Linked DNA regions of Cricetulus griseus. The protein of the gene in region 2 interacts with the protein of the main gene of each other region in a biochemical or structural test. Links are inferred from orthologs where the notes say so. Each region holds a gene or a part of one and is shown on either strand. Other genes may lie near its edges.

What was found.
Region 1: the proteins of Chml (region 2) and Rab1a form a complex in vitro, tested with the Homo sapiens proteins (2 studies listed by BioGRID). The link is inferred for Cricetulus griseus from reciprocal best matches to the Homo sapiens genes CHML and RAB1A.

Annotation. Positions count from the first base shown.
Region 1 is NW_023276807.1:86,262,515-86,266,697, forward strand, and holds the end of Rab1a (ras-related protein Rab-1A), read right to left. Parts: intron 3,652-4,183; coding exon 3,556-3,651; intron 1,921-3,555; coding exon 1,789-1,920; intron 1,445-1,788; coding exon 1,247-1,444; 3' UTR 627-1,246; downstream 1-626. UniProt on the Homo sapiens protein: The small GTPases Rab are key regulators of intracellular membrane trafficking, from the formation of transport vesicles to their fusion with membranes.
Region 2 is NC_048598.1:18,011,693-18,016,006, reverse strand, and holds the start of Chml (rab proteins geranylgeranyltransferase component A 2), read right to left. Parts: upstream 2,980-4,314; 5' UTR 2,731-2,979; coding exon 877-2,730; 3' UTR 1-876. UniProt on the Homo sapiens protein: Substrate-binding subunit (component A) of the Rab geranylgeranyltransferase (GGTase) complex. Binds unprenylated Rab proteins and presents the substrate peptide to the catalytic component B.

The DNA.
Region 1 (4,183 bases), on a different chromosome or scaffold from region 2:
AAAAGAAAAAAGATAAAGCAGGCATGGTGGTGCATGCCTTTAATCCTAGCACTTGGAGGCAGAGACAGGTGGATCCCTGAGTTCGAGGCCAGTCTGGTCCACGGAGCAAGTTCCAGGACAGCCAGAACTACACAGAGAAACCCTGTCTCTAAAAGCAAAAAATAAAAATCCCAAAAACTGGGGTAGGTGAGGTGGGGTGGGGTGGGTGTGTGGCATCTGCCAGAGCATGGAGGAAGCACCAGCACATGTTACTAGATCACTGCCTGGGAGTAAAGCATGTGCTGCTCTCCATCTCTACCACAGATGCATGAAGAAAGTTTGAGTGAAGCCACTTCAGACAACGGTTTTAGAGCTGGAGATGAAGCACTAGAAAGCACACATTCTAAACTTGTTTTCCATACACTCTGAGCTCCTTGAACCAATGAATTTGGTTCAGTCTACACAGCACAGAAGCTTCTCTAGGTCACTTAGCAGGTCTATTACTAGAAAGCAAATACTGGATGCTGTGCTATTATTAGATAGGTCTACAGTGCCCTTGTTGCACACACAAATTGGCTGTTGAGTATAATGCAAATCCCTATTTCCCTTTAACCATAAGAATTAAAACAATACTTATCACCATACAGTTTGATATTACTTCCAATAAGTACAATATTTATTAAACATATCTTCAGTTTTGTTACATAGTGTGCAACAAATTACAATATTCTGCAGCCACAAATTATATGCAGAGTATGAAGAAACTATTAATCAGATAGTGTAATCTTTCCATTTATAACTCTACAAGGAAGAACTAGCAAATCAGATCTTACATATAACGTCTCACTAAACTTTATGCATGGAAATTGACAGACACTGGTTGTGCTGTTTGATACAAAATGGCTGAACTTCATCTTCAGAAGACTAAACCCAACATCTAAACATGCCAATATAAACATCAAAACAAAATATATTCTAACCAACCACGGGAAACAATCTGGTATCAGGAAAGCAACAAGGATTACACACATTATTTTATAAACCAGCACACAAAGGTTTAAAACAGTTCTGAAAATGAAGTTAGCTGTCTTTGAGTCAAGGGAATAAAAAAAAAAGTCAGTATTGACCATTTACAATCTCTGACCTTGTGGAAACGGTAAGAATCTGTTGTAGTGCAGCTACATACAGTACAATTCAGGCAATTTTGTTTTTTCACTTGGGTTCAGATTGCGAATTCATTGCTGTGAGAAAAGGACGGAGGCAAATTTTAGCAGCAACCTCCACCTGACTGCTTGACTGGAGTGCTCTGGATTTTAACATTGGACTTCTCTGCACCACCAGCTGTTGCTCCAGGGCCCATTCGCTTTTTAATCTCGGCTGCCATCGTCATGAAAGACTGTTCTACATTCGTTGCATTCTTAGCACTGGTTTCCAAAAATGGAATTCCAAGGGAATCTGCAAATTCCTGAGAGAGTAATAAGGAACAATCAACACTGGAAAACCTTTCTAACTTGCTGTTAATGCTTTCTGAAATGGGAATGAAGGACTAAATTCACTGGCTTTTAAAAGTTTAGCCACTGTATGACTCCCGTCCCCATAATTAAAATTCAACTTGAAAATCAAACCTCGACAGGTGGTGGTGGCACATGCCCTTAATCCCAGCACTTGGGAGGCAGAGGCAGAAGGATCTCTGTGAGTTCGAAAACAGCCTGGTCTACAGAGTGAGTTCCAGGACAGCCAGGGCTGTTATACAGAGAAACCCTGTCCCAAAATTAATTAAGTAATTAGAAAATCAGACCTCATACATACCTTCGCTGTTGTGTAATCTACTACTTTCTTTGTGGTCAGGTCACATTTGTTCCCTACCAACAACTTGTTGACATTTTCACTGGCATAGCGATCTATCTCTTGCAGCCACTGTTTAACATTATTGAAGGACTCCTAAAGACAAGAATGATGATACAGTTTTGGATGCAACCAATGATCAACTGATAACAGCTCATTTTGTGGCAACTCTAGCTATAACTATAATGCAAGAAAAGAAATGAACTAATATATTACAATGACAATGTTCATCTAATGAATGATAAGGAGGACTGGCAGGCTTGAAGTGAAAATAGCTTATTTGGGAAGGGAAACAGTTTAATATTTAATGACAGGCAAACCAATTTTTTCTTTAAAGATTTTATTTATTATGTATACAGTCTTCTGCCTGCATGCAGATCTCATTCAAGGTGGCTGTGAGCCACCATGTGGTTGCTGGGAATTGAACTCAGGACCTCTGGAAGAACAGTCAGTGCTCTTAACCGCTGAGCCATCTCTCCAGCCCCCAGGCAAACCCAATTTTAAGTTGAAATTTAGATATTAACAAAACCTAGTTTCTGAAATTTAGTAGAATTCTGGTTTTTAAACTGAGTAGTGACACAGCTTTTATCCCAGAACTAGGGAGGCAGAGGCAGGTGGATCTCTGAGTTCTAGGCCTGCCCATTCTACAAAATCAGTTAGTTGCACGTCAGCCAGGACTACCTTAAGGGAGATCCTGTCTCAAAATAAACCAAACAAAAATTAACAACAAAAACTGGTCATGAATAACAGCAGTGTTACTACTATCAAAAAGATAACTGTTTGGCCCGAGGGTACAGTTCAGGGACTGACTACTTCCTGGCATGCAGAAATCTCTGAGCTTAAATGCCACTACAAGATAGTGAGTGGATGGGGAGGAGAAAACTAGTTTAAAAAAAAAAAAAAAAAAAAAAAAAACTTTTGGTGAGACCTTTTCCTTTTTCTTTTCTCAAAAATATTTTATGGTAGACTGGGAGTGATTGCACATGCTTTTGATCCCAGTGCTTAGAGGGCAGAGGCAGGCAGATCTCTGAGTTCTACAGAGTTCTAGGACTGCCAGGACTACTCAGAGAAACTCTGTCTCAAAACACAACAAAATAATGGTGATAGACTGGACGTTTAAAAGTAACATGTTCTGGGCTGAAGAGATGGCTCAGTGGTTAAGAGCACTGACTGCTCTTCTAGAGGACCGGGGTTCAATTCCCAGCACCCACATGGCAGCTCACAGCTGTCTGTAATTCCAGTTCCAGGGGACCCAACACCCATGGCAAAACACCAATGTATATAAAATAAAAATAAAATTTTAAAAAAGTAACATGTTCTGTCTGCTCTGGGTGTTGGCCTTTTTGAGATGTGATCTGCTGTGTTGTGCTGCCTAGACTGGTCTCAGTCTTCTGAGAGCCTATCTCAGCCTCCCAAGTAGCAAGAACCCAGGCACACGACATCATGTTAATGTAGCATTTTCTTTTCCTGCCCACATTCACCCATCTTTTGCTCCTAAATGTCTTCAGTTATTTCCAAATTGCCCATAAGTCACAAAGAGTTGATTTAACATTTGCTACAAGAAAAATGAGTGCTAATTTTTATTTTTTTTTTTAATTTCTCAAATGGTAAAAATAACTTTCAGATCAAAAGTATTCAAGGACATTCTGTCTACATAATAATTTCCAGGTCAATCAGAACTACACAGTGTGTCGAAAATCTACACACATACAATAGTCTCTAGGAACTCACCTGATCTGTCACATCATACACAACTATGATGCCATGGGCTCCTCTGTAGTAACTGGAGGTGATTGTTCGAAATCTTTCCTGGCCTGCTGTGTCCCACTATTAGAAAAGAATCAGGAAAGGCAAAACAATTTCATTACAACAGACTTGGGAAGTACAAGAGGAAACTGTAGATTATTAGGATCAGACACAACAGATCCTAATTCAATGCTTACATTATTAAACTGCACTGCAAGTATCAAATATGTTAAAATCCAGAAGCAAAGACATTGCCTACAATTTGGCTGGTGGTACTGACACCAAATTCTAAATTCTTTTATGCTAGGCAGTTGGCAAAAATAAGAATCCAGAGTCCACAGCGTACTCCTTCCTGGCTGCAGCCATTCATCCCAAATCAGGTTGTTCTGCCATGCCCTAGTGGGAAAAGGAGGTGTACTTCACCAAGTGAAAGTACTTCACCTCAATGAGCACGGTATTGACAGAACCAACGCTGGCTTTGTTCCTTTCTTTCTGGCTAAAACTAGACTGAGACTCAAAAGACTATGAATATGAAGATCTACGATTCCAACCTGACTCTTATCAATGTGCCCCTCTTGCTCCATGGTATAATAACTAATTTTAATGAAGATCT
Region 2 (4,314 bases):
TCTTTTTTTGGTAGGTAGTGGGGTTGGTTTTGTTTTGAAATGAGTTTCGACACAGTAGCCCAGACTGGCCTGGATTTTACAGCAATCCTCCTGTCTCAACCTCCTGAATGTTAGCATTACATGAATAAGCAACCATACCCAGATTGCAATACATCTCGTAAATAAGAGGTTCTTCAAACGACTAAGGGGCACTTTTTTTTGTAAAGTAGCAGGCTAGCGTAGTCTCACTGCCTCCTCAGTGACAAAGGTTAAAGCAGGTGAAATCACATGTAAATAGCAGCCCCAAGCCACAGGCTCATGCATGGCCAAGCTTCTAACACTTGCTTTTTTACCATACTTGTATTAGCTGCTACTCCTACTACCAGCCCTGTGTGTTTACATAATATACAAAAAACTCACTCCGTTTATGATTATGTGTTCCTCTGTGCACCCGAGGTGGTAGCAACAGTAGTAGCACTCTGTGGATATTAATTTTTGTGTAGATAATGATAAAACCTGAACACAGAACACAGAAGACGATGCTACCTTAAGTTAAGCAATGTCGCTAATGTGAAACCCAAAAGTAAAATAAAGCTAATGACATTCAGAGATTCTGGATTCCTGTAGCCAATTCTGAAAAAGGTGAGTCACCACAAACCAGATGCTGACAGATTAGCAGAGCTATTAGGGTACCCAGTGTCTTGGTGTTGAAGACATGTGAACAGCGCTTATCACAAATGGCAGCTGTCTTTCAGTGACAATATTGTGAGACCAGGATGAAAATACTTCCAGTCAGTTTTAATTTCGAAGGTGTTCTGTGCTTTACAAGTCCTTGCTGTGTCCTTGGGGTGTCTAGCTGGATGGTAAGTGTGTTACTGACTCCAGGATGTCTGCTTGCTAACCCTCACCTTCAAAGATAATGTCTTCTGGATTTGGTGGAGGAGGGCAGAACTCTTCACTGGGAAAGATCTCCTGGAACAGTGTTTCCGCTTGCTTAACGGCATGCTCATTCCCCAGTCCACAGTCAGGCCCAGAGCAGATGTACACATTGGAAGGTAAACCATGGTATGAGCTTCGGCTCACTCCTGAGGAATCTCTCATATTAAAATAAAGGGCCCACAAGAGTCTTGGTTTTCTGAGTTCTTCCTCATCTGTTTCTGCTTCTGCAAAAGGAATGAATAACTGCTTAACTACTGGTTCCAAGTCTTCTCGGGCTGTTTTTGAAGAAACACAGGTCAGGTGGACCAGATAGCTGTCCTTCATGCACGTCATGGTTGATGAGCATAACTCCATGACCCGAATTGAGCTGCTTCCAGGCTCTAGTGGAGGCACTACCAGAATGGAAATTTGATGGTCTGAATCTGTCTTTAGGATGGACTGATCTGTGATAAGCACAGCCCTCGAGATCTGCTTATATTGCACATTTGAACAGGTTTCCTTAGAAAGGTAACTGTCCTCCACAATAAAGTAGTTGGCACTTATTCTCTGACCAAAGTGGTCAATGACCCCTTTACATCTTCCAGAGTCTTTATCAACTACAAGGCATTGGACTTTATGGCGAAGACAATAGATTCCACCAAACACTGCACACATCCTGCAGAAACACTGGGGGATTTCTCCTTGGCCATATAAAGGAAATATAAAGGGAGTGTTGCCAAACCGTCCAAGACACTGAAGAAAGGTTTTTGTTGCTTTAAGACCATCTAACGTAGTGCAGGATGGTTCTGATGTCATTGCAATTGAGTGTAGTATGAAATGTTGGAGGTTGGGCGTTAACTTTTTAGTTTTTAGGTACTCAGAAAATGGGCATTGTTTGAAGTCTTGGTATTCATCAGAATGCTGTTCATAGTCTAAACAGAATGTGAGGAATTTCATTAGCATTCTCTTCTCAACCACGGTGAGCGCTTTACTACTAAAGACATCTGCTCTGCAGCAAGGCACCTGCTCTACCTTCCCGTCCCGAAACGCAAGGATCCTAGTGACATTCTTAAATTCTGCGTAACGACTAACGTTTGATTTGATGAGAAGATCAATCAATGATCCTTGAGAATACAGCAGCTTCGATACCAAGTCAATATTAAATCTCCGGCTCTCCTTAATCATTTGAGGGTAAGTAATCCTGTTTCTCTTTGGTTGTTTGCTGTTGTCTTCTATATCAGGTTTGTCTTCATCTTTATCTCCATCTGAAACTGTCTGGATGCCACCATCCTTTTCTTGATCCAGTGAGTTCTCTGCATCAGTTAAGGATGGTGACGGCTCCGTATCACTTCTCTCTGTGTGTCTAGAAGGTGCTTCGTGGCTTGAAAAGTATACTGTGTACCCTTCTTTGGGCAAACCTGCAGAATCCAGAGAGTCAGCCAGGGTAGCAGATGCCTTTGGGGAAGGACTTCTCTGCAGAGCATTGTTCTCTTGAGTGCTGTCCCCATCATCTTGACTGGCGTAACAGAAGACTTCTGTGTTCTCAATAGTCTCATCTTTCTTGCAAAGAGCGATGGCGTCTTCCGTTTCATGGATCAGGTCTTGCCACGAGGCAGTCATGTCTTCCTCGCTGTCATGGTTCTGTTCATAGTCCTTCAGCCAGGACAGCAAGCCTGTAAAGCTGAAACTTGCCCAATTCCCTCCATAGTAACTTCTGGAGTCAACATGCAGAACTCGCTGTCCACTTCTGGAACACGCAGCTGCCAGGATGGACTCAGGCAAACCTGTCCCTATAATAACTACATCAAACTCTGTGGGAAGCTTGTCTGCCATCCTAGGAGCTGAAACTTCAGGTCACAGCTGATGAAAGAACTCTGTATGGAACTAGGTCGAGGGCTCCTCTGAGGTATTTATGCTGTAATAAAATCTCTACTTGGGATCTTCAATCAGGAACACTGAGTTTGCAAATCCTAAGCTGTTTAACGCTTAACAATTTTTAAACATTAAAAAAAAAGTCAGTAGCATGGAAAACACGATAATGCATGTAATCGTATGTGAGAATACTCAAATGGATGCGTCCTTTTCATTTCTGCATTTCACCTTAGCGGGAAATGTTACCATGCATCACATGTGCATTTGTGACTGGAACTCTCCTCTGAAAGAAGAAAATTCAAGAAAAGAACACAATGATAAATAATATAAAAGCAATTTCATGCAACAGCAGTTTCAATCCACCGGAGTCTGACTTGTTAACGTGGCTACAAACCTCTACCCAAAGAAGTCATTAAATGCTTTCCCATAGGTCTTCTTAGTTCTTGAAAATGAACAAAAGATATTTAATATATTCTCTCCCCACAGCCCAGCAATACTGTCATAAGGCATGGACACAATATCCCACAAAAAATAAAAAAATTATACAATTATTTGATTGTTAATTATGTATCTGGACAATACTGTGAGCTTAGACTAAAAGAGATATGTGGCTTTACTGTGTTTATGCAAACATACTATGCTGAGTGAGCATGTCAACATAATGGCAGATATTTCTGTGGTCAGGAACATTTGCGGGTAACCCCAGACAGCTGCATAGGAGATTTTACATCCTGAACTACCCTAAGGATCTTGCAGGAGATACATGAGACATCCAGACATTACAAGAGAATTAATTCAATAACTGGCATTTAATGTATGTAGGTATGTAAAAGAACAGGCCTGAGGGGAAACAGTTTTGTAACATTTTCTGTGTCAAAGTACATGTGTAAGTTAAAGTTCTTGGTTTCCTGTATTAAACCATTTCAATATAAATAACATCTATTCATAACACCTAAGTGAGGAGACATTTACATTTTGCCAGACTGTCTCTGCAACTACGAATCTCTCTCTAAACATGTTTTCATTTCTAAAGAAGAAATGGGAAAGGACTCTCCTGTCCCCTCCCATCACATGCTGGCTATCTCCATGTGATGCTGGGTGTGGCTGGAGGCTGTTCCCTTGGACATACTCACCTGGAAGTCGGCAGGCTGGCACACTCACACACCCCACTGCCAGCCTTTTATGGCTCACCATGCATAGCAGCAGCAAGTGTTCCTTGGCCTCTACTTTTCACTACCGTTAAATCTGCTGACCTCTAGATACAGGTACACCTAAGAGAATGATACTTCTGATATTTACGAAACAAGCCATACAAATGGAATTTACACGAACTTCACTAAGTAGCTGGTCCGACCTGTCAGTTTAACTGAAACAGTGATCCTAACAAGCCCAGCTGGTAGAAACCTCGGACCAAGATTATCAGGGATTCTACTTATTTTTAGCTTTCTTTGAGAAGCCAGGATGAGAGCCCAGAATGAAGCAATTGCTTAGTCTACTTGTGTAAATATGTAAGAATAGGTGAATTACTTACTCGCCCTTCTTCTA